Caenorhabditis elegans: one gene and its partners. The protein of the gene in region 1 purifies or fractionates together with the protein of each later gene. This does not show direct contact. Each region holds a gene or a part of one and is shown in the gene's direction. Other genes may lie near its edges.

Region 1 (4,598 bases):
CGGGAAAAAACGGATTTTTTTCGTTTTTCTCAATTTTTGGATCATTTTTCGCCGATTTTTAATGCCAAAATCGGATTCCCCGACACTTTTTACCCATATCTGATGTTTTTTTCGTCGAATTTCGAGCATTTCTGCATTTTGTCGTAGGCTCTGCGGTGTTTGCGTACTTTTGGAACTACCGTACCCCTCGAAATTCAAATTTTGAGCTAAGAACCCGGAAAACAAGTTTTAAGGCGTAAAAATAAGTGGGAAATTCGAATTTGATAATAAAAATTTGAAATTTCGACTGGAACGGTCTGAAATTTTAGTGTTTTGGACGAAAATTCATTTTTCAAAACAAATCACTGATTTTTGGGGTTTTTAATAAAAAATTCGAATTCCCCGCCACTTTTTACCCATATTTGACGTTTTTTTCGTCGAATTTCGAGCATTTCTGCATTTTGTCGTAGGCTCTGCGGTGTTTGCGTACTTTTGGAGCTACCGTACCCCGCGAAATTTAAATTTTGAGCTAAGAGCCCGGAAAACATGTTTTAAAGGGTAAAATTAGGCGGGAAATTCGAATTTGATGATAAAAATTTGAAATTTCGACTAGAAAAGTCTGAAAATTAAAAAAAAATTTCGAAAAAAAAAATTTTTTTTTTTCAAAAAAAAAATTTTTAATTTTAAATTTTTTTTAAAAATTCTTTTTAACATATTTCCAAAATTTCCAAATTTCCAGGTCTCAAACACACGGGCGGCACCACTCCGAATCGCCGAAAAATGTCAAAATCGCCGTCTCCAGCGCCACGTGGCTCCGCACCACCGCCAGTTGCTCCAAAAACTCGAGTCGTCAGTGTTGAAAGGGATCGACAATAAATTTGATCGATTTTCCCATTTATTTTCTCGTGTAAAATATGAAAATTTCTAGTTTTCCCCGTTTTTTCCCATTTTTTCTAACAAAAAATTCAAATTTCCCCCCTTTCCACGTGTGTTACGGGCATTTTTCACACTTTTTCTCTGCATTTTTGCCGTTTTTCCCCTTTTTTTTCCCCCGTGATTATTTGAATTTTTGAATTTTTTCGCTTTTTTGTGCGGAAAATTATTTTTTTTCTACTTTTTTCCTTGGTTTCCCCCCTTAAACCGGTTACAATACGCGATATTATTGTTTTTCTTTTTTTAAAAATGATTTTTTAATGAATAAATTTGATTTGTTTGAAAAATGTTTGAAAAAATTGCAAAAGAAAGTGTTCTGCGTAAAAATAAATTAAAAATAAAGAAAATTCAAAAAAATGGAGAAAATTCGAATTCAAACACCCGCGCAAATGAGGTACGTGATTTTGCGTGCGCGTGTCTGCGGACCGGGCATTTAATCTTACGGCACTTGGTGTTTTCCAACGCTGAAAATGATTTAATTATTTGTTTTAAGCCTAAATTTCTTAATTTTCAGCCGTTTTTCTCGATTTTTTCGATTTATAACCTAAAATTCATGAATTTTCGATCTTTTCAAGCCATAAAATGCTAAAATCCATCACAAAATCGAGTTGAAATCGACTTTTTTAGGCGGAAATTTCAGATTTTCGATTTTCAAGCAATTTCACCCGATTTTCAGATCATTCAACGACGGGTTACACTTTATTGATAGTGGAAAATGTCTGACGATGAAATAAAAAGCGAACATGTTCAGGAGAAGACGGAAAATCTGAGCGAGGTTCGGTTTTGAGGCCTAAAATTCGATTTTCGGCTTGGAAAGGCTTGCAAAAGCTTGAAAAAGCTTAGAAACTTGCATCCAGATGTGAATTTCATTGAAAAATCCAGAAAAATTTCCAAAAAATCGCGAAAAAACGCGAAAAAACAGTGAAAATACCAGAAATGTCCCAAAAACTCTATTTTTTAATTCCAGGAGGACGCATTAAAGGAAGAAATCCGCCGTTTTTCGTCGGCAGTTTCGAATCCAAGCCTTCGGGCTCATGGAATGGCCTACGCCGCTCTGACGAAGCTCATCGAGCGCCGCTCAACGGAAATTCCGGCTCAATTTGTGAAGGGGCTCGTCAAAATGAGCATTGCCAACTCGATTCGGCTCTATGGACAGCCAAAATCCTTTCAGGTAGCGGAAGAAAGCTGGAAAGTGTCGAAAAAACGAAGAAAATTAGCCTAAAATTGGACTTTTTCGTGACAATTGTGCAAAATTTCGCAATTTTTCACCTGAAAATTGCTATTTCTGCAGAAAAATTCTCAAAACTTGCAGATTTTCCTCTATCTTCGTCGAAAAACTCCACATTTTTCACGATTTTCACCTGAAATACTGATAAAATCTCGATTTTTCACAAAATTCCCGGATTTCCATTCAAAAAGTTGGATTTTTCTGGTTATTTACCAGAAAAATCCGAGAAATTGTCAAGTTTTTATCATTTTTAGTTCAAAACCCTGGAAATTTTTACGAAAATTCAAGATTTTTCTCTTTTTTCAACGGAAAAATCAGATAATATAAGATTTTTTTCCCGAAAAAACCCGGATTTTTCACACAATTTCACCTGAAAATCGACGAAAATCCTTTAAAAAATTCTGAATATCCATTCAAAAAGTTGGAATTTTTCGATTTTTTTCCGGAAAAAGTCCGGAAAATTGCAAATTTTTAAGACACAATGCGGAATTTTTTCGAAAAACGGTCTGAAATTCGCATTTTTTCACAATTTTCCCGAAAAATTGGGCTTTTCTTTCAAATTTCAGTAAAAAATTCCGGTTTTTTCGCCCGAAAATCCCCATAAATCCCTGAAATTTCTGGATTTCGATCCAAAAAACCGGAGTTTTCGCTTTTTTTGCCGAAAAATCCGTCAAAATTGTTCAATTCTCCATGAAAATTTCGAATTTTTGGATAAAAATCGGAATTTTTACGAAAAACGCTGGGAAATCTCACAAATTCCACTGGAAAATTGACGAAAATCCTCAAAATTCCCGTGTTTCTATTCAAAAAAGTCCGAATTTTTCGCTTTTTTTGCCGAAAAAGTCCGGTAAATTGCCAATTTTTACGAAAAACAGTCAAAAATTCGCAATTTTTCCGCAAAAATTAAGCTTTTCCATGAAATTTCAGACGAAAATTCCAGATTTTTCGCATTTTTCCACGAAAAATCGACCAAAATCCTCGAAATTTCCGGATTTTCATTCAAAAAGTTGGAATTTTTCAAACTTTTTACAGAAAAAGTCTTGAAAATTGCCAATTTTTACGAAAAACAGTCAAAAATTCGAGATTTTCCTCATTTTTCAACTAAAAAACCCGGATTTCTCACAAATCCCACCGGAAAGTCGGCGAAAATCCTCGAAATTTCTGGATTTCCATTCAAAAAAGTGGAAATTTTTCGCTTTTTTTGCCGAAAAACCCGTCAAAATTTCAAATTGTTTGAATGAAATCGGAATTTTTTTACGAAAAACAGTAAAAATTCGCATTTTTTCACATTTTTCCTCTGAAATTTGAGCTTTTCTATGAAATTTTAACCGAAAATTCCCGATTTTTCGCTTTTTTTTTACCTGAAAATCCCCATAAATTACTGAAATTTCCGATTTTTCACGAAAAATTTGCTGAAAATCGACGAAAATCGTCGAAATTTCTGGATTTCCAATTTAAAAAAGTCGGAATTTTCCAAATTTTTTGAATGTAAATCGGAATTTTCAATAAAAACAGTGAAAATTCGCATTTTTAAACATTTTTTTTCCGGAAAATTACCTGGATTTTTTTCACGAAAACCCGTCGAAAATTCACATTTTCTCTGCGAAAATTGAGCTTTTCCATGAAATTTCAGCCAAAAATTCCAGATTTTTCGGTTTTTTCAACCGAAAATCCTCATAAATCACTGAAATTTCCAATTTTTCAACAAAAATTTCCTTCCAGGCCGTCTCAAAATTGCTCCAAGTGCTCGCCAAACGTGATCCCATCTCCACACTCAAATCACTGCTCCAAACAATCACCACGGCTCTTCCAATCATCCCAAATCTCACGGAATCCCATAGTCTCTCACAAGTTCCAACGATGAAATGGCTTTTGGCCTGTTTGGATGGAAATTCCTGCGCTGAAAATGCTGTGGAAATCTTTGGAGCTCTCGGAGCAATCGCCTATTGGATGTCTGCTAGTGATAAAGCTTGGCGTGTTTTCACAAAGAAGCTGGCTCAGCTTTTCGCGAAAAATCCCGAGATTTCCAATGTTTTCACCGCAAAAATCGGGGAATTTTCAAAGGAAAATCCCGAGAAATCGTTGGCTCTGATCTCGGCTTTTGGTGCTCTTGGAGCCGCGAAAACTCCTGAAATTGCTCCAATTTTCGTCGAAATTTTCACAAAATCCCAGCTTCTCCCAAAGCTCCGACCACCGCAATTTTTCGTCACGAGAATCTCGAAATTCGCGGTTTTTCTCCAAAAATCGCCGGATTTTGAGACGAATTTGCTGCCAAATATGAAAAAAGCACTGCTCCGGAGCCCTGAAGTCGCGATTTTCGGAATCCGTGGGCTCTTGGAGCACATCAGCTTCTCGCTCGACTTTTGTGCTCAGGATTTGCTCAAATCTACGATTTCCTCGCTTTGTAACACGGATCCGGAGATTCGTGAAGCTGGAATCGGGATTGTGGTGGCTTTAA
Region 2 (7,662 bases), 2.1 Mb from region 1:
GTAGAGCATTCCGAAGTTCATAGTTTTAATGACATTCACTGTGATTTCTACTCTCATACTTCTCAGCTTCTCTCGAACCATATGATCTTGAAGCTTCAATGGACGAAAGTAGACATGATTGGATCCTGTATATCGTCCAGTAAACTTTTCGCTTCTCACAGAGTTTGTAACGTGAGCCCGAATTTCGAATTCAACTTCCGCTGACCAGGTGGCTGGAGTTTTGAAGTAAGCAGCAAAGCATTCGAAGGAATTTGCACGCAACTCAATTTGCCTGACAATTCAGTTTTGTTATGGGATTATATTATTTCTCAGAAGCAACGTTGATCGATTTCCGTGCAAAAATACGGTTTCTCGAAACGACAATAAAGAGTACTGTAGTTTCAACTTCTTAAAAATTATGTTTTTTTTTAACCATAAAGCCAAAATTCAGCGTTTTTTCCAGAAAAGTGAACAATTTATCGTTTAGAAGTAAAACTGACCATTTCATACACTTCAAATGAATCCAATATCTGTAGACTTTGTGCTCCTCGTCTAGGACCAAATCAAGAGTCTTGCTACTCTTAAAATCATCACTTAAATCCACAATATCCACTGGATACTCTTCAGCGGCAGCCTTGTTCGGAGCCATTTTCAGACTTTACCCTGAAATTTTCGATAAGATTTTGTTGGGGAAAAAAGAATCTCATAAAAGGAGAAAAGGCATGAACTGAAAAAGAAGCACGTGGCAGACCGAAAAAAACGGGGAAATCGATAGAAAAGGGTTGTAGGGGCAAGGAGACATCTAAACAACACACATGCTATATGCTGCCCCAGTATTCTGCGTCTCTTCTCTCTCTCTCTCTCTCTATAAGAACGAGAAAGCAAAAACATGATAAAACCACTTAAAAAAATAAGAAAGCTTTTATTTTAAATAAAAATTTAAAAATAAGAACATTTTAGTTATGCTTCAATTTTAAAGTGGCCACAATGTTGGTGAAAAAAAATTAATTTTTAAAAAAGTTCACAATTTTATTGGAAATTTGCTTATAAAGTCGATATACGTCGAAAGAAACACTAAAAAACAACAAAAAACAGAAAAGACCTACTAAAACGAGCAACTCACCATATTCCAAATGAAATGTCAAAACTCTTGAAGTGAACACAATCTTCGATCTTCCTCCACTGATCGGAGAGCGCGCCAGCAGGTGCTGTTGGCGCGCGACCGGTGCATTGACGCGATTCTCGTGCAAAATTTCGAATGCAATTTTCGCCTTTTAAGGGACAGTTTTCAGTTATTTTACGTTTAAAAACTTTTAAATTATTTAAAAAAAAACAACAGAAAAACTTTAAATATTGTTGTCTGTCTGATGTTCATAAAAATTCGTAAGATAATCCATTATTTTTCAAGGGTATTAATATTTTAGTTTCTTGAGTGTATTTCTTTGAATATTGTTCATTGTAAAAGGATTATGGTTTCCATTTCTTTTTAGTGATTTCATTAATAAATTTTTGCAATTGTTTATTACAATTTGAAAATGGTTTCGCGCAAGCTATCGAAGTTTAGGATGTTGTTTTCTAAATCTTTTCTAAAAAAAGTTTTTTTCCTTCCAACTTTAATCTTTCTTCCATATAATCAATATTGATTGTAGATCGATGTCTCGTTCAGGCGAGGCTTATGCGCAGGAGTTGAACCGCAAAAGGGTCGCAAACCAGCGTGCCGCGGCAGCCGAAGACAACGATGAGAATAAGGGAAACGGAAATAAAGTGGCCTTCGGAGCCGCTGGTAATTTCGACACGGTTAGTGAATTCTAATACTTTATTTGAAAATTTGAAAATTCTCTATTACTTTTTGAATCTTTTCAATTTCAGGATGTTTACGGAAGTGTTCGTGGTGAAAATCGGGATAGTTACCTAGACTCGATTGGAACCGGAGAAGAAGATGACGTCGATGAGGATTCGATGCCGAGTGTACAAAAGAAAAGTACAAATTATGCACAGCCACACAAATTCATCGAAGAGGTGGCTGCTGCCTCCGAGGACACTGATCCATTCGCAGATACTCGCACAAAAACCATCGCAGAACGACAATCCAAGTATCACGAAAGAGCTATGAGGAGACAGATCTCTCCAGACAGAGCGGATGCTTTTGGTAAGATCGAAAATCATTTTGACTTTAATTAAATTTATTCTTTCAGTTGATCAAACTCCTGACAATCGGAATCGAGGTTACGCAGAAGTTATGCGTGATCAGATGTACCATGAAGAGAAAGGGCGTGTTGAACGGGAGCTTGCCGATCGAGCAAAAGCTGGAGAGCTTCATGTTACTGGACAGCCAGAGAAAAAGAAAGGAAGATGGGATGCTGAAGCTCCATCAACTGATGCATCTTCTGATAATCTTGGTGCAGCTTCTGCAACTCCATCTCAGGGTTCTGCTCCACGAAAAAGATTAGGATTTTCGAAGATTAGTGCAGATGCAGCAACACCAAGAGCTGCTAGATGGGATGAAACACCGGCTCACTCGACTGGAGCAGCTGATGCAACTCCTTCTGTGGATAAATGGTCAACGACTCCGGCAGCACAGACCCCGAGAAGAAATCGTTGGGATGAAACTCCAAAAGAGAATCTCAATGATGGATCAATGACACCGGGATGGGGAATGGAGACTCCTGCTAGAGGAGGATCAGATGATGTTAAGATTGAGGATACTCCATCCGCATCGAAGCGTCGTTCACGATGGGATCTGACACCATCACAAACTCCGAATGTGGCAGCAGCTACTCCACTTCATTCCGGATTACAGACACCATCATTCACACCGAGCCACCCTTCACAGACTCCAATCGGAGCAATGACTCCAGGTTTATTACAAAATATTGTAATTAATATAAAATTAATATAAAATATATTCAGGTGGAGCAACTCCAATTGGAACGGCAGCAATGGGAATGAAAACACCAGCTCCTCATATGATTCCAATGACACCTGAACAAATGCAAATTTACCGATGGGAGAAGGAAATTGATGACAGAAACCGTCCATTGACTGATGAAGAACTCGATTCACTATTCCCACCTGGCTACAAGGTTCTGGTTCCTCCAATGAACTACATTCCTCTGAGAACACCATCACGGAAGTTGATGGCCACTCCAACTCCAATGGGTGGAGCTGCTGGTGGAGGATTCTTTATGCCTGGAACACCAGATAGAGATGGAATCGGAGAGAAAGGAGTCGGTGGTCTGGTGGATACTCAACCTAAGAATGCAGAATTACCACCTCTAAAGCCAGATGATATGCAATATTTCGATAAGTTGTTGATGGATGTAGATGAGAGTCAACTCACGAAAGAAGAGAAAAATGAACGGGAAATTATGGAGCATTTATTGAAAATCAAAAATGGAACCCCGCCAATGAGAAAGAGCGGATTGAGAAAAATAACAGAAAACGCGCGAAAGTACGGAGCAGGTCCACTTTTCAATCAAATTCTTCCACTTCTCATGTCACCATCGCTGGAGGATCAAGAACGGCATTTGATGGTAAAAGTTATTGATCGAATTCTATACAAATTGGATGATCTCGTCAGACCATATGTGCATAAGATTCTTGTCGTCATTGAGCCACTTCTTATCGATGAGGATTATTATGCAAGAGTTGAAGGTTTGAAAATTTAGAATAAATTTTAAAATTTAAAAATTAAATATTTTCAGGTCGTGAGATCATTTCCAACCTTGCAAAGGCCGCTGGATTGGCAACAATGATTTCTACAATGAGGCCTGATATTGATAATGTTGATGAGTAAGTTTGTCGACAGTTTTGTTGATTTTTCAATTAAACAAACACCAAATATATGGTTGTTCAATTTTCCCTGGAAAACAGTAAAAAAATTGAAGAAATATTAAAAATTAGTTTGAAACTATAGAAAATCTGGCAACTTTTGGCCATTTTTGAGAACTTTCTGAAACGTTCCAGCTGAAATTAATGTTAATTTCAGATTAATCAAGTGATTTTCTATAGGTTTACACTAGTTTTTAATTTAAAAAAGTCCGAAAAGACCGAATTTTTTCAAAAAAAGTTTTAAAAATGTATTTTTTAGATTTTTAAAAATCTCACTATGAAATTCGGTATTTGCGGGTCAGTTTTAATGAATTTAAAGCAGAAAAAACATCACAAAGCTTTTAATCAAACCCAAAAATTTGCAGATATGTCCGTAATACAACCGCTCGTGCATTCGCTGTCGTCGCCTCAGCTCTCGGAATTCCAGCTCTCCTCCCATTCCTTAAAGCTGTGTGCAAAAGTAAAAAAAGTTGGCAGGCTCGGCACACGGGTATTAAAATTGTTCAACAAATGGCCATTTTGATGGGTTGTGCAGTATTACCACATTTGAAAGCACTTGTTGATATTGTTGAAAGCGGATTGGATGATGAACAGCAAAAGGTTTTCTTTTTAATTTCTAAAGTTTCTGGAATTGATGCAAATCGTTTCAGGTCCGAACTATCACTGCTCTCTGCTTGGCAGCTCTCGCCGAAGCTTCATCTCCATACGGAATTGAAGCTTTCGATTCAGTGTTGAAACCTCTTTGGAAAGGTATTCGTATGCATCGTGGAAAAGGTCTTGCTGCATTCCTTAAAGCTATTGGTTACCTGATTCCATTGATGGACGCAGAATATGCTTCATATTATACAAGAGAAGTGATGCTCATTTTGATTCGCGAGTTTGCATCGCCAGATGAGGAAATGAAAAAGATTGTTTTAAAGGTGAGTGATATAATAACCAAAACATTCGTAGAACTATCGTTTAACATTTAAATTTGCAGGTTGTCAAGCAGTGTTGTGCAACAGACGGAGTAGAAGCGAGTTACATTCGAGACGAAGTACTTCCAAGCTTCTTCAAAGCATTCTGGAATCAAAGAATGGCTATGGATCGTCGTAACTATCGCCAATTGGTTGATACAACTGTGGAAATTGCTCAAAAAGTCGGATGCGTTGAGATGATTGCTCGAATTGTTGATGATTTGAAGGATGAAAATGAGCAATACAGAAAAATGGTTATGGAAACAATTGAGAATATTGTAGCGTTGCAAGGAGCGACTGATATTGATGCTCGACTTGAAGAACAACTGATTGATGGTCTTCTTTATGCTTTCCAGGAACAAACTCAAGAAGATTCTGTGATGCTTGATGGTTTTGGAACAATCTGCTCAAGTCTTGGACGACGTGCCAAGGCATATATCCCACAAATCTGTGGTACTATTCTGTGGCGTCTCAACAACAAATCTGCAAAAGTTCGTCAACAAGCTGCTGATTTAATTGCCAGAATTGCACCGGTTATGCATATGTGTGAAGAGGAGAAAATGATGGGACACATGGGAGTAGTATTGTATGAGTATTTGGGAGAAGAATATCCAGAAGTACTTGGATCAATTCTCGGTGCATTGAAAGCAATTTGCAATGTTATTGGAATGACCAAAATGACTCCACCAATCAAAGATTTGCTGCCAAGATTGACACCAATTTTGAAGAATCGTCACGAGAAAGTGCAGGAGAACTGTATCGATTTGGTGGGAGCAATCGCTGATAGAGGATCTGAATTTGTATCTGCAAGAGAATGGATGAGAATCTGTTTCGAGCTTCTCGAATTGCTTAAAGCTCACAAGAAAAGTATTCGAAGAGCTGCAATTAATACATTTGGATTTATTGCAAAAGCTATCGGACCACATGATGTTCTCGCAACGTTGCTCAATAATTTGAAGGTAGGCTCGGATTAGAAGTGATTCTTTTAAAATAAATTATTTTTCAGGTCCAAGAACGCCAGCTCCGTGTGTGTACAACAGTCGCCATTGCCATTGTTTCGGAAACTTGTGCCCCATTTACAGTACTTCCAGCAATTATGAACGAGTATCGTGTACCTGAAATTAATGTACAAAACGGAGTTTTAAAAGCTCTTTCATTCATGTTCGAATACATTGGAGAAATGGCAAAAGACTACATTTATGCAGTTGTTCCGCTGCTCATTGATGCATTAATGGAAAGAGATCAAGTTCATCGTCAGATTGCAGTCGACGCAGTTGCTCATCTTGCTATTGGAGTTTATGGATTTGGTTGTGAAGATGCACTTATTCATTTATTGAATTATGTGTGGCCCAATATGTTGGAAAACTCACCGCATCTTATTCAACGATGGGTGTTTGCATGTGAAGGAATGCGAGTTTCGTTGGGACCTATTAAGGTTTTTATTTTAAATTCTTAATAATTTCAAAAATTAAAATTCATTTCAGGTTCTTCAATATTGCCTGCAAGCTCTTTGGCATCCAGCGAGAAAAGTTCGAGAACCAGTGTGGAAGGTAATTATTTTAGTTTCCTTGAATTTTCAATTACAGAAATAGTGGAAATATTCGGAATATAGCTTTTAAAATATTTATAGAATGTTTCTAATTTTTTAATGATTTTTTTCAATTGAATTTTTATTTTTCAGAGAAAATTTATTTTTATTGTGAAATATCTTCTTTTTTTTCGACCAAAAGTGAGCGACCGGAAAAATTGAAAAAGGAAAAAATTAAATACAGGTTGCGCGGGAATTCAAAAATGTTTTGGTACTTCTCAAATTTTCCGCAAAATTTAAAAAAAGATTAGAAAATTTCTATAAATTTTTTAAAATTTGTATTCGGAATATTGAGACGTTTTTTCCACAAGCGCTAAATTTTTATGTAATTTCATATTAATATTTCCAGGTCTTCAACAACCTAATTCTTGGCTCCGCAGATGCTCTTATTGCCGCCTATCCACGTATCGAGAACACCCCAACAAATCAATATGTCCGCTACGAACTTGATTATAATCTTTAAATAATTTTCTAATTTTTGTTTTTTTTATTTGGATCTCGATAACTTATTTTTCTATCTCCGTGTTCCCTCCCTCCTTTCATCACATTTTCATAGAAAACGAAACCTTTTATATTTTAATCCCATTTCCCTCCAAATATTCTCTTGAATCTAGATTAATCTAACAAAATTGTTTTGGTTGTCAGTGGTTTTTTTTTGTTTTTCTATTACTTTTCTCCAATATCAATCAATTTATTCCCAAAAAAAAAAACAACAACAACTCTTGCGATAGATATTTAAAATGAAGACTTGTCAAATTATTTTAATGTTTTAAAGAAATCCCTTTTTTTTTGTTGAAGTCAAATTTCGCTTATTTTTTCTCGTTTAAAAATTTTTTAAATACCTTAAAAAATATCAGAGTTTCCTAATACTCTCCAAATATAAAAATAATTTTCTAATTTTATTTTTGGCAAAATTATCTTTAAAAAAGAAATTTTACAAATTCTTTCAATATTAGTTCCTTAAAAACGAAAATTTTGCGCTTTTTGCAGCAACAGTACAGTGGCTGGTCTCGAAACGACAAATGTGTATTAAATGCAAAAATGGTGTGCGCCTTTAAGGATTACTGTAGTTTAAGAATCTCTTTGTTACGGAATTTTCATCGATTTTTCATAATCTTCTTTCAATTTTTATTTTTCTAATCGAAAAACTTTTGTTTGCACAGAATTTTCATCGATTTTATCTCAAAAATATATTTACTCATACAAATATTAAAATACTTAAAATTTGAACAAAATCTATGAAAATTATGCAGCTACGATATTTTTGTTAAACACATTTTTGCATTGAACTAAAATTGTCGCGTCGAG
Region 3 (3,430 bases), on another chromosome or scaffold:
CAAAAAATCAATAAAAAATTATTTTTTCTATAATTTTTTTTATTATTTTAGGCAGAATTAAATTTAAAACGCAAAAAACCGTGAAATCCTGCTAGAAAATACGTTTTTCATGCTTGTCCACGAGTATACTCGTGGCTCGCAAATCTACACATCTTTTAAAGGGACATTGACTTTTTTTTCAGAAAAAAATTAAATTTTCCATCAAATTTCGGTCATTTTTTGTCTTTTTAGAAGAAAATTCGATTTAAAAATTGATTTTATTTTTTCAATTTTTCTCAATTTCCTGAATATCTTCCGACACTGACCAACAACTTCTCGAAGCAAGAATCTCAGCGGCCGACATCTAAAATCTTCCGGTGGCATTATTAAATAGAGAATTATATCGACAAGATCATGAAGATAGGCTGAAAAATCGGAAAAAATTGAATTTTTTCATCGAAAATCTCAATTTTTACCATTTTCATAATGCGGTGTAGTTGAAAGAAGATCTCTACACAACGATTTTTCCATTTCCAGCTCAAAATCAAAGAAATTGCTGAGCAATTCCGCTTCCAAATCTTCAGGGGATAATGTTTTATCTTTTTCCTTCGCTTGAAATGCAGTTCTTTCCTTAGCTTTCCGGAAAAGCCGTAAATGAGAAGCAAAATCGTCGACAACGTCACGCGTGAGCAATGGAACCCAATCAACCTGGCGGAGACTGGAAATTTGAGATTTTATTGATTTTTTTCCATTTTTTGTTTTATAAAATAAAATTTTATTAATGAGCTACACACCATTGTGTCAATGAGGCAATTGATCTTCGGGAGGTTCTCTTTAAGCTTTGTTCAAAAATATTATCATTTGAAAGTGTTTTATACCAAAAGCCGACGTAATCCCGTGTTATATTGCCGAGAATCTAAAAAAAAATATTTTTAATAACATTTCAGTCCACATAAATCCCTACTTGTTCTAAAACCAAATCTAATTGCGGTGAATTGCACATTGAATGCACCTCCACATATTGATTTTGCTCTTTGAGTCGTTTTCCATTTTTCAGCAGAGCCTCAATTCCCGCAGATAATTTTCCTTTTTGCAGATTTTCGGATAAAATTCCAGCGATTTCGTCATGTTTTTCGTGTCCCGTTTGATAGAAAATGTAGAGAAATCTGAAGGTATTCCAGTTTAAGGTTTTTCTAAAGAATTAAAGCTTACCCCGCTACGAAACAGAGGATACTGGCTGGAAGAACGATTAGACCGGTTGAACCGAATGTTGCTAGGAAAAGGACTACAGCAAGGAGAATATAAAGCCGATTTGACATTTTTCTAGAGAATTTTCCGATTTTTCTTCATATTTTACATAAAATTATGGAAATTCATCTGTAAAATCTGGTAAATAATTAAAAAATTCTATGCGCATTCCGTAAAACTAGTATCTCGGGGACAAGGGAACGTGAGATTTGAAATAGTTTCTGGCAGCTTTACAAATGAAAATTGCTGTATTTTTTTAGTATTTATAATTGATTAAGAATAATATAATAGTTTTCATTTAATTAAATATTTAAATTTGCATTTTACATAAATGCTAGTCTCCAATTTCGGCGTTCTTGCGTCTCCGGGAAGTTAACTTCATGAGGCCCTTCCCGCAAACGCGCCCCACTGCACACGCTGCGTGCTGCGTCGCGTGCCTTATTTTCGAATTTTATTCCCTTCATTTTTCATTTTGAGCTCTTCATTTTTCGTAATTTTTAGAAAGAAAAACCGTTTTATTTCTAGATTTTCTTCAAAATAAAGTTCTAAAACACATTTTTCTCATCTGGAAATCCATTTGTTGCCACATTTTTCTTGCAACGCGTGCAAATTCTAGAATTTTCCGAAAAAACTTCATTTTCGGGGTTTTATTCCTTTTTTGTCTATTATGCTCAGCATATTTCAAATGAGAACAAACTTTACCGTGAAAAGTGTGAAAATCTGAAATTTTAGGCGATTCTACTTCTTTTTTCTAACGTTTTCTCCCTTCAAGCCGAATCTACAGAATCAAAATTTTCAGAATGACTTCAGTTGGTGTCCCAATCAAGATTCTTCATGAGGCCGAAGGTCACATGGTCACGCTCGAAACCGTTACAGGTAATCATTTTCGAATTTCCCGTCGCTCAATAAATACTTTTCTATTCCAGGCGAAGTTTACCGAGGAAAACTTTCTGAAGCCGAAGACAACATGAACTGTCAGCTGGCTGAAACCGTTGTGACTTTCCGCGACGGAAGAAGTCATCAATTGGACAACGTTTTCATTCGCGGAAACAAGGTTTTTCACCATTTTTCTCTAAATTTCAGCTGTAAACCAATCAATTTCCAGATCCGATTCATGATTCTGCCGGATATGCTCAAAAACGCGCCAATGTTCAAAAATATCGGAAGAGCCCAGAAAGGAGCCATTGGAATGGGTTTGGGAGGTCTCGATCAGCGTGGAAGAGGACGTGGAACCGCTTTCCGTCGACCAATGGGCCGTGGAGGACCACGTGGAATGTCTCGCCCGGGAGGAGCTCCAACGTTCCGTGGATAAGCACAACACGGCGCAAATATAATCAATTCTCTGTATTTTTTCTCTCTCTCGAGTCCCCCATTCTTCCAGTTTCTCTTCTTTTCAAAGCGTGCGCAGACCGTTGAATTTGACGTGATCTCCTGCTTGTCCCGGCTCCGCACTTTGTTATTTGTTGAATCATACTTCATTTTTCATAAATTATTTTCCAGAAAAAAGACGACGACAAACTGGTTTCGGAGATTTCCCTGTAAGATTACCACAATTCCAAAGTGTGGTATTCGCCTAGAATATAACTGGCGAAATGGTAAATCATTCGCCAGTCGTCTTCTTTTTGTTCTCCTTATTCTTTTATTCGCATTTAAATGGAGCATTCGATGATGCAGAGCATTTTCCAAAAGGGATAGAGGATAGAGCCAAACTTTTGGCACGGGCAGACCAGTGTGTGCTAAAATATTTAGAGTTTACCGGCAAAGTGAGTAATTTTTCGCAAAAAATTGAGCGAAAAACTTGAAAATCCACGTTTTTTTTCGAGCCGCTCCGCTTGCTATTGCGTCGCGGTCGCGAATATTCTGTTATTTTTTTTATTTCTCTGTTCAGAAGCTTTCACATCTGCCGTACACTGTAAAACGATGTGCTCTCTCGGAATATTTCACTTGGGAAGAGTCTGGAACATTTTTTCCGTTTCAAAAATGCAATAATTTCGTGTTTTTCGGGGGAAATTCCCTCCAAATATTGAATAATACCGATTTTAAGATGCTCAATTGCAAATATTTGATTATCGATTCGAGGGAGAACCTCCGTGGAGTTTGTAGTTTATAGTCGAAGAAATGAACTTTTAAATTCTGAAATTTTCAGCTTGAAAATTATAAAAAAGTAGATGATCTTTCAAAATCACAACTAAACAATGCTCTG
Region 4 (5,978 bases), on another chromosome or scaffold:
GGGAGTTGGTATCCTTGAAAACTTAGAATGATTTCGATAAGATCTTCACAGGCAATAATCGAAGCAGTGAAGTAATCCTTTCTTGAGGCTCTCTTCAACATTGTAAAAGCTCTGATGGACTTGGAAACGAGGTGGTTTGAGTTTTGTGAAGTGGCAAGAAGGGAAAAACTGAAAATATAACAATTAAATATATAGCTAGATACTATTACAAAAATAACTTACATTTCTAAAATGTTCATGTGATCCGTTACAGCGGTGAGTGCGGTTGATGGGAGTTTACAGATAGGGAAAGGCACAAGAGAAGTCATTTGTTGACGTAGATAATAACGAAATGAACAGAGGTGGCTGGATGGAATGGTAAGACGCTCTATGTATTGGAATATTGGAATATCGATCCAGGGTTTTCAGATATTGCCAGCGTTTCTGCGACATGCCACCTGAACTGTGCGGCTCTTTTCTCGGTGCATCTTTCAGTGTTTTAGCGAGAAAGAGTTTGCGAATGATTATACTAGTTAAATAGCTGGAGCAATAAGCTTATCATTAGAAAAATTAAATTTTAAACAAAGTGGTTGTAGATATAGATATACTTATACATATAGATATACACATATATACATATATATAGACATATAGATATAGATAGTTGTAGATATACATACGCCTTGAACCAAAGAGCCGAGAGCCGAGAGCCGAATCATTTGGCTCTCGGCGCATTTCGAGTAGTATGGAATGATCTGTACACTTTTTTCCAAATTATATTTTTTATGAAAAGCTTATTGCTCCAGCTTTTCAACTAGTATAATCATTTGCACACTCTTTCTTTCTAAAGCACTAAAAATGGAATTTTCAGATGCGCCGAGAAAAGAGCCGCAGAGCCCAGCATGCTACACAATTCCCGGGCTCTGTGCGAATTACGTACTATTAGAGACTGCTGGACAATTTTTTGATATCACTTAATTTTTGAGATACACCGCTTTAACCATTATACTTCAAAATTTAGAGTGTCGCAGAACATGTTAAGTTTGAACAGATGTAACTTTTTTACCGTTAATGCAATCAACAAATTTCAACCAATTTGATATGTTACATAGTTTGAGGATCATTTTGTTAATTGAATAAGTTTTAATAGCACTCTTAGTTTTTGAGATACATCTGCTTAACAGTTGTACCTCAAAATGTACAGTGTCGTGAAACATCAAAAGTTTAAGCGAATCTAACTTTGTCACCATAACTGCAATCTAAAAACTTTCAACTAACAAAATGATTGCCATAGTCTGAGGACCATTTCGTTAGTTAACAAAATTTTGATAGCACTCTTAGTTTTTGCTATACATCGCCTTTCTGTAAGGTCTCAAATTTTCGAGTATCCCAAAAGCTCACAATATTTTTTTTCGATATTTATTCTGTCAAAACAGCATCTTCAGCTATTTTCAGCGGATTATATTTCCGTTTTTTTGCAGGGAAAATGGTAATTTATCGACTTTCATTGAAACTCTATCATTACCCCTATTTCGAAATCGATTTGGTTCTGCAAATCGTAAAAATATCATCAATTTCCGAGTTATAACTCCTCGATCGAAAAACTGCGATTCAAATCGGCGCCAATTTAAAGTCCGCAAACACGGCGGCGCGCACTTGCGTACTTTACACCAGACTTTACGAGCATTCCAACAAACTGGATTTTTCTCGCGTGAAAGCCGAGAAATGTCGCATCAGGAGCAACAAGAGCAAGAAATCGAGGCTCTCGAAGCGATTTATTCGGAAGAAGAAATTCACGTGGCAAGCCGGGATTATCCGAACATTGAACTATCGATTCAGCTCAAGTCAAATCAGGTTTGTCATGAAAATTGTGATTTTTTCGAGAACTCTTTGATTTCAACGGGTTAAACTGTGATTTTCGCTTGATTTAAATAGAAAAATCGAGATTTCCGTCGAAAACTACCCCAAAAATTTACGGCAAAATTTCAATTTTTAGCCTAATTTTATCAAAAAACTCAATTTTTCCCGTTTTTCAGTACGAAGACCCAACGGACGACGATTTCGACGTGGAATTAGGCATCGAATTTACCGAAAATTATCCAGATGAGGTAAAATCCAGGAAAAAGCTCCGAAAAATCGATTTTCAAGAGGAAAATCTGAAAAACTGAATTTTACTGGAAAAAAAATAGAAAAACCGATTAAAATGACCGGCAAAATCTGAGAAAATGCGATTTTAGACTGGAAAAAGCTGGAAAATCTCGTAAATTATTCAAAAGAGTAGAAAACCACCAAAATTGCTTGAAAAATACAGAAAAATCATTAGGAGAAATTTTAGGAAAAAATCACTAGGAACATTTTTAAGGATAAGAATTGACGGTTTTCACTAATTGCAATCAGTAAAAGCAAAAATACCGGTTAAATTCTCTGAAATCAGCCGAAAATCCGATTTGTCGATTTTTTGTGCTAAAAATGGCTAAAAACGCCCAAAAGTAACCTATTTTTCAGAAATTTGCTGAAAATGTCTAATTTTAAGCCAATTTTGCTCTAAAAACCATGAGTTCAAGCCATTGTTAGGCTGAAAATTGCTGAAAATCTCAATTTTCCCTGTTTTTTTTTCAGATTTTCCCCATCAGAATCCTCATTTTCAAGCCATTTTTGCCCTAAAAATCCCCAATTTTTTCCAGATTCCAATAATAACTCTGAATGGAATTGAAGATGCATTCACAGCCGAACGAATCGCCGAATCAATCGATAAATTACGTTCTGTTGCCGAAGAAAATCTCGGAATGGTTATGGTTTTTGCAATTGTTTCAGCACTTCAAGATGAAATTGGAGAGCTTGTTGATGTGAAAAAACGTGCAAAAGAGGAAAAAGTCGAAATTGAGAAAGAGAAAAAAGAAGCCGAGAGCCGCAAGAAATTTGAGGGTAAAAAATGGTTGAAAATCTGTAAAAATCGGAGAAAAATGGACAAAAATTGATCAAAAGACACTGAAAATCCCCAAAAACAGGAAAAAATCCCTGAAAAATTGCAAAAAAAGTGATTTTCAGCTTAAATTCCCCACAGAATTCAATTTTTTCGTCTAGAATCCGCTAAAATTTGCTGAAAATTGTCGAAAAACAGCGGAATTCATATAAATACGTTCAAAACCGCTTAAAACTCGAAAAATCACCGATTTTCAGTGAAATTTTTAAATTTTTATAGGAAAATTCACGATTTTCTTCATCGAAATCGCTAAAAAACGAATTTTGAGCTGAAATTCATCAAAAATAGCATGAAAGTGCCGAAAATTCGGCAAAAATGGGCTGAAAACGCGCCCAAACGGCCAAAAATCACCGAATTTCATGTAATTAGCGGGAAAATTGCGCAAAAACAGCTGAAAATACCAGAAAATGCCGAAAATTTACAAAAATCGGTGAAAATTTGTGAAAAATCTTCGAATTTTACGATTTTATACGGAAAAATTTGTAAAAATCTAAATTTTTCGCTGTAAGACCTAAAATTCATAGGGAAAAGTGCTTAAAATGTTGAAATTCCACAAAATTTCGCGAAATTGGCTATAAAAGTACAAAAAATTCGAGAAAAATGCTCCAAAAGCACTCAAAATTGCTCGAATTTTTTGAAAAATGTCCTAAAAGCCTTGAAAAATCTGAACAAATGTCTCAAAAACTCAAGAAAATGTTATAAAATGGCCAAAAATCTCCAAATTTTCCAGGTACTGTAGTGACACCGGACACATTCCGAGCCTGGAAGGACAGATTTGATGAGGAACGGAAAGCTGAAATTGATGCAGCTGAAAAAGAACGATTGGCATCGTTGGCTGGACGATTAACAGGTGAAAAGCTGTGAAATTGAGCATTTTAGAGCCGGAAAATTGAAGAAAATCGCAGTTTTTCCATGAAAAACGTTGAAAATTGCGATTTTTCAGTGAAAACCTGTAAAAATCGCGATTTTTAACATGGAAAATGGCGGAAAAATGAGGATTTTAGGGCGGAAAACCCCAAAAATTGCAAGTTGCCGCCTGGAAAAACGTAAAAATTGGCGGTTTTCATGCAAAAAATTCGAGATTTTCAGTTAAAAATCAAAGAAAAAGGCTATTTTACGCATGAAAATGGTTAAAAAGTGCAATTTTCAACCGAAAAAACGTAAAAAACCAGAGATTTTTAACCGGAAAATTGGAAAATTGAAGAAAATTGCAGTTAAAATTATCGGAAAATCCCCATTTTTTCAGAAAAATTCACAAAAAAACTCGCAATATCCCGAAAAAATGCTATTTTCCGTCTTTTTAGTGGAAAAAATCATAAAAATCCCGATTCTTGCGATTTTCTACGCCAAAATTATCGAAATTTTGAACTTTTTCAGGCGAAAAATTCATTTAAATCCCATTTTCTGGCTCCAAATCTCACAAAAAATGTGATTTTCCGTCTGAAAATCGCTGAAAATTTCAAAAAAAACCAATATTTTCCAGGACGTCAACTATTCCTTCGTGACGCTACACTCAATCTCTCTGACGTCACACTTATTGGAGCACAAGATGAAGTCGAAATTGATGAGAGCCTCTTTGATAATGAGGTTTCTGGAAAAAACCACTGAAAAATCGATTTTTTACTGAAAATTTACGATTTTCTATTAAAAAATTGCATGAAAAACATGCAAATTCATTGGAAATTGTCGATTTTCGAGTTTTTTTCGGTGAAAATCCGAAAATTTTTTTTTCTTTTTTGAAACGTTCCCTTTTAAAACCTGGAAAAATGTAAAAATTCGCTAAAATCCCCATTTTTTCACTGAAAAATTAGACATTTTTTACTCAAAATTTATTTTTCCATGGAAAACTCTGTTTTTGAGCTAAAAAAAATGCAAAAAATCTGGATTTTTCCGAAGAAAAAGCTTCAAAATTTACAAAATTTGGCATTTTTGGCTGAAAATTCACGATTTTCCACTTTAAAAGTGAATTTTTTGTGATAAACTTCATATTTTCTATCAAAAAATTGAAATTTTCTCACTAAAATTCCGATTTTCTATGGAAAAAACGCCAAAATTCCCACATTTTTCAGTGAAAAGCTACTTGAAAACGCGAAAAATTGCAATTTTATTCCAAAAATTGTTCGAAATTTCGAGTTTTTCTCATAAAATTGATTAATTTCAAGATGAAAATTCGATTTTACTGCCTAAAATGATCAAATTTTCCGATTTTCAACATAAAAAACCTCCAAAAATCCCATTTTTTAGCCTAAAAAACCCCAAAAAATCTCAAATTTCCACTCAAAAAAACCCATTTTTTCCAGGAACTCGAAGGTCTTGAAATGGATTCCGAAGAAGAAGAAGAAGACGATGAAGAATAGGATTTCCCCTCAATTTATTGCATTTTTCTGTGATTTTTCGCCATTTTTTCGGCGAAAAATCCCGTAATTTATCCATTTTTTTGCCCCCCAGTTTTTGTTGATTTTCACGGTTTTTCGTTTCAATTTTTTCCATTTTTTTGCGTAAAGATTTGTTTTAGTTTTAACCTTTTTTTTTGAATTTTTCGCTGTTTTTATCAGCTTTTTTATCGATTTTTTATTGAAAATTTTTGGCGATGAGTCATCAGTTTTTATCAAACTTTTTTGGAGAGTTTTGTGACTCATTTTTACTCAATTTTCAGCGGAAATTTGGTGTTTTGAAGGTTTTTTTTGTAAAAATCGCAAAAAATGCGATTTTTAGCTTGAAATTTCATTTTCCGCTAGAAAAATGTTCAAAATTGCCATTTTTTGGAATTTTTATTCAATTTTTCTACTCAAATTTCCTAAAAATGTCTATTTTCCAACTCAAATTCAGTTTTTTTTTCCGTTGAAAACTGTTCAAAACTCTAACTTTTAAATTAAAATTCAATTTTTTCCATTGAATAATTATTTAAAATCCGATTTTTGATTAATAAATTCAAAAATTATTCACTTAATAATTTTTTCACTTAAAAAAGGTTCAAAAATGTGAAAAAATCCAATTTTCAGCCGAAAAAATCGAT

Evidence for each region.
Region 2: the proteins of gcn-1 (region 1) and sftb-1 fractionate together in Caenorhabditis elegans (co-fractionation; one large-scale study listed by BioGRID). This does not show direct contact.
Region 3: the proteins of gcn-1 (region 1) and snr-1 fractionate together in Caenorhabditis elegans (co-fractionation; one large-scale study listed by BioGRID). This does not show direct contact.
Region 4: the proteins of gcn-1 (region 1) and T26E3.4 fractionate together in Caenorhabditis elegans (co-fractionation; one large-scale study listed by BioGRID). This does not show direct contact.

What each region holds. Positions count from the first base shown.
Region 1 is NC_003281.10:2,150,357-2,154,954, forward strand, and holds the start of gcn-1 (TOG domain-containing protein), read left to right. Parts: upstream 1-1,588; 5' UTR 1,589-1,627; coding exon 1,628-1,687; intron 1,688-1,879; coding exon 1,880-2,083; intron 2,084-3,862; coding exon 3,863-4,598. Other genes in the region: frl-1 (GBD/FH3 domain-containing protein), read left to right, coding at 719-855.
Region 2 is NC_003281.10:4,263,237-4,270,898, reverse strand, and holds sftb-1 (Splicing factor 3B subunit 1 domain-containing protein), read left to right. Parts: upstream 1-1,628; 5' UTR 1,629-1,632; coding exon 1,633-1,776; intron 1,777-1,848; coding exon 1,849-2,128; intron 2,129-2,174; coding exon 2,175-2,837; intron 2,838-2,889; coding exon 2,890-3,633; intron 3,634-3,683; coding exon 3,684-3,771; intron 3,772-4,175; coding exon 4,176-4,410; intron 4,411-4,460; coding exon 4,461-4,730; intron 4,731-4,789; coding exon 4,790-5,725; intron 5,726-5,772; coding exon 5,773-6,201; intron 6,202-6,250; coding exon 6,251-6,316; intron 6,317-6,703; coding exon 6,704-6,817; 3' UTR 6,818-7,116; downstream 7,117-7,662. Other genes in the region: R10E4.1 (BTB domain-containing protein), read right to left, coding at 1-271, 480-628.
Region 3 is NC_003282.8:17,086,032-17,089,461, forward strand, and holds snr-1 (Small nuclear ribonucleoprotein Sm D3), read left to right. Parts: upstream 1-2,017; 5' UTR 2,018-2,027; coding exon 2,028-2,103; intron 2,104-2,153; coding exon 2,154-2,281; intron 2,282-2,332; coding exon 2,333-2,539; 3' UTR 2,540-2,819; downstream 2,820-3,430. Other genes in the region: snx-13 (Sorting nexin-13), read right to left, coding at 306-404, 456-697, 774-895, 944-1,145, 1,192-1,298; Y116A8C.43 (Lipoprotein), read left to right, coding at 2,820-2,990, 3,116-3,322, 3,374-3,430. UniProt on the Caenorhabditis elegans protein: Plays a role in pre-mRNA splicing as a core component of the spliceosomal U1, U2, U4 and U5 small nuclear ribonucleoproteins (snRNPs), the building blocks of the spliceosome.
Region 4 is NC_003279.8:12,663,416-12,669,393, forward strand, and holds T26E3.4 (RWD domain-containing protein), read left to right. Parts: upstream 1-1,694; 5' UTR 1,695-1,704; coding exon 1,705-1,833; intron 1,834-2,015; coding exon 2,016-2,087; intron 2,088-2,663; coding exon 2,664-2,904; intron 2,905-3,692; coding exon 3,693-3,812; intron 3,813-4,445; coding exon 4,446-4,549; intron 4,550-5,262; coding exon 5,263-5,319; 3' UTR 5,320-5,478; downstream 5,479-5,978. Other genes in the region: T26E3.5 (F-box domain-containing protein), read right to left, coding at 1-168, 223-308.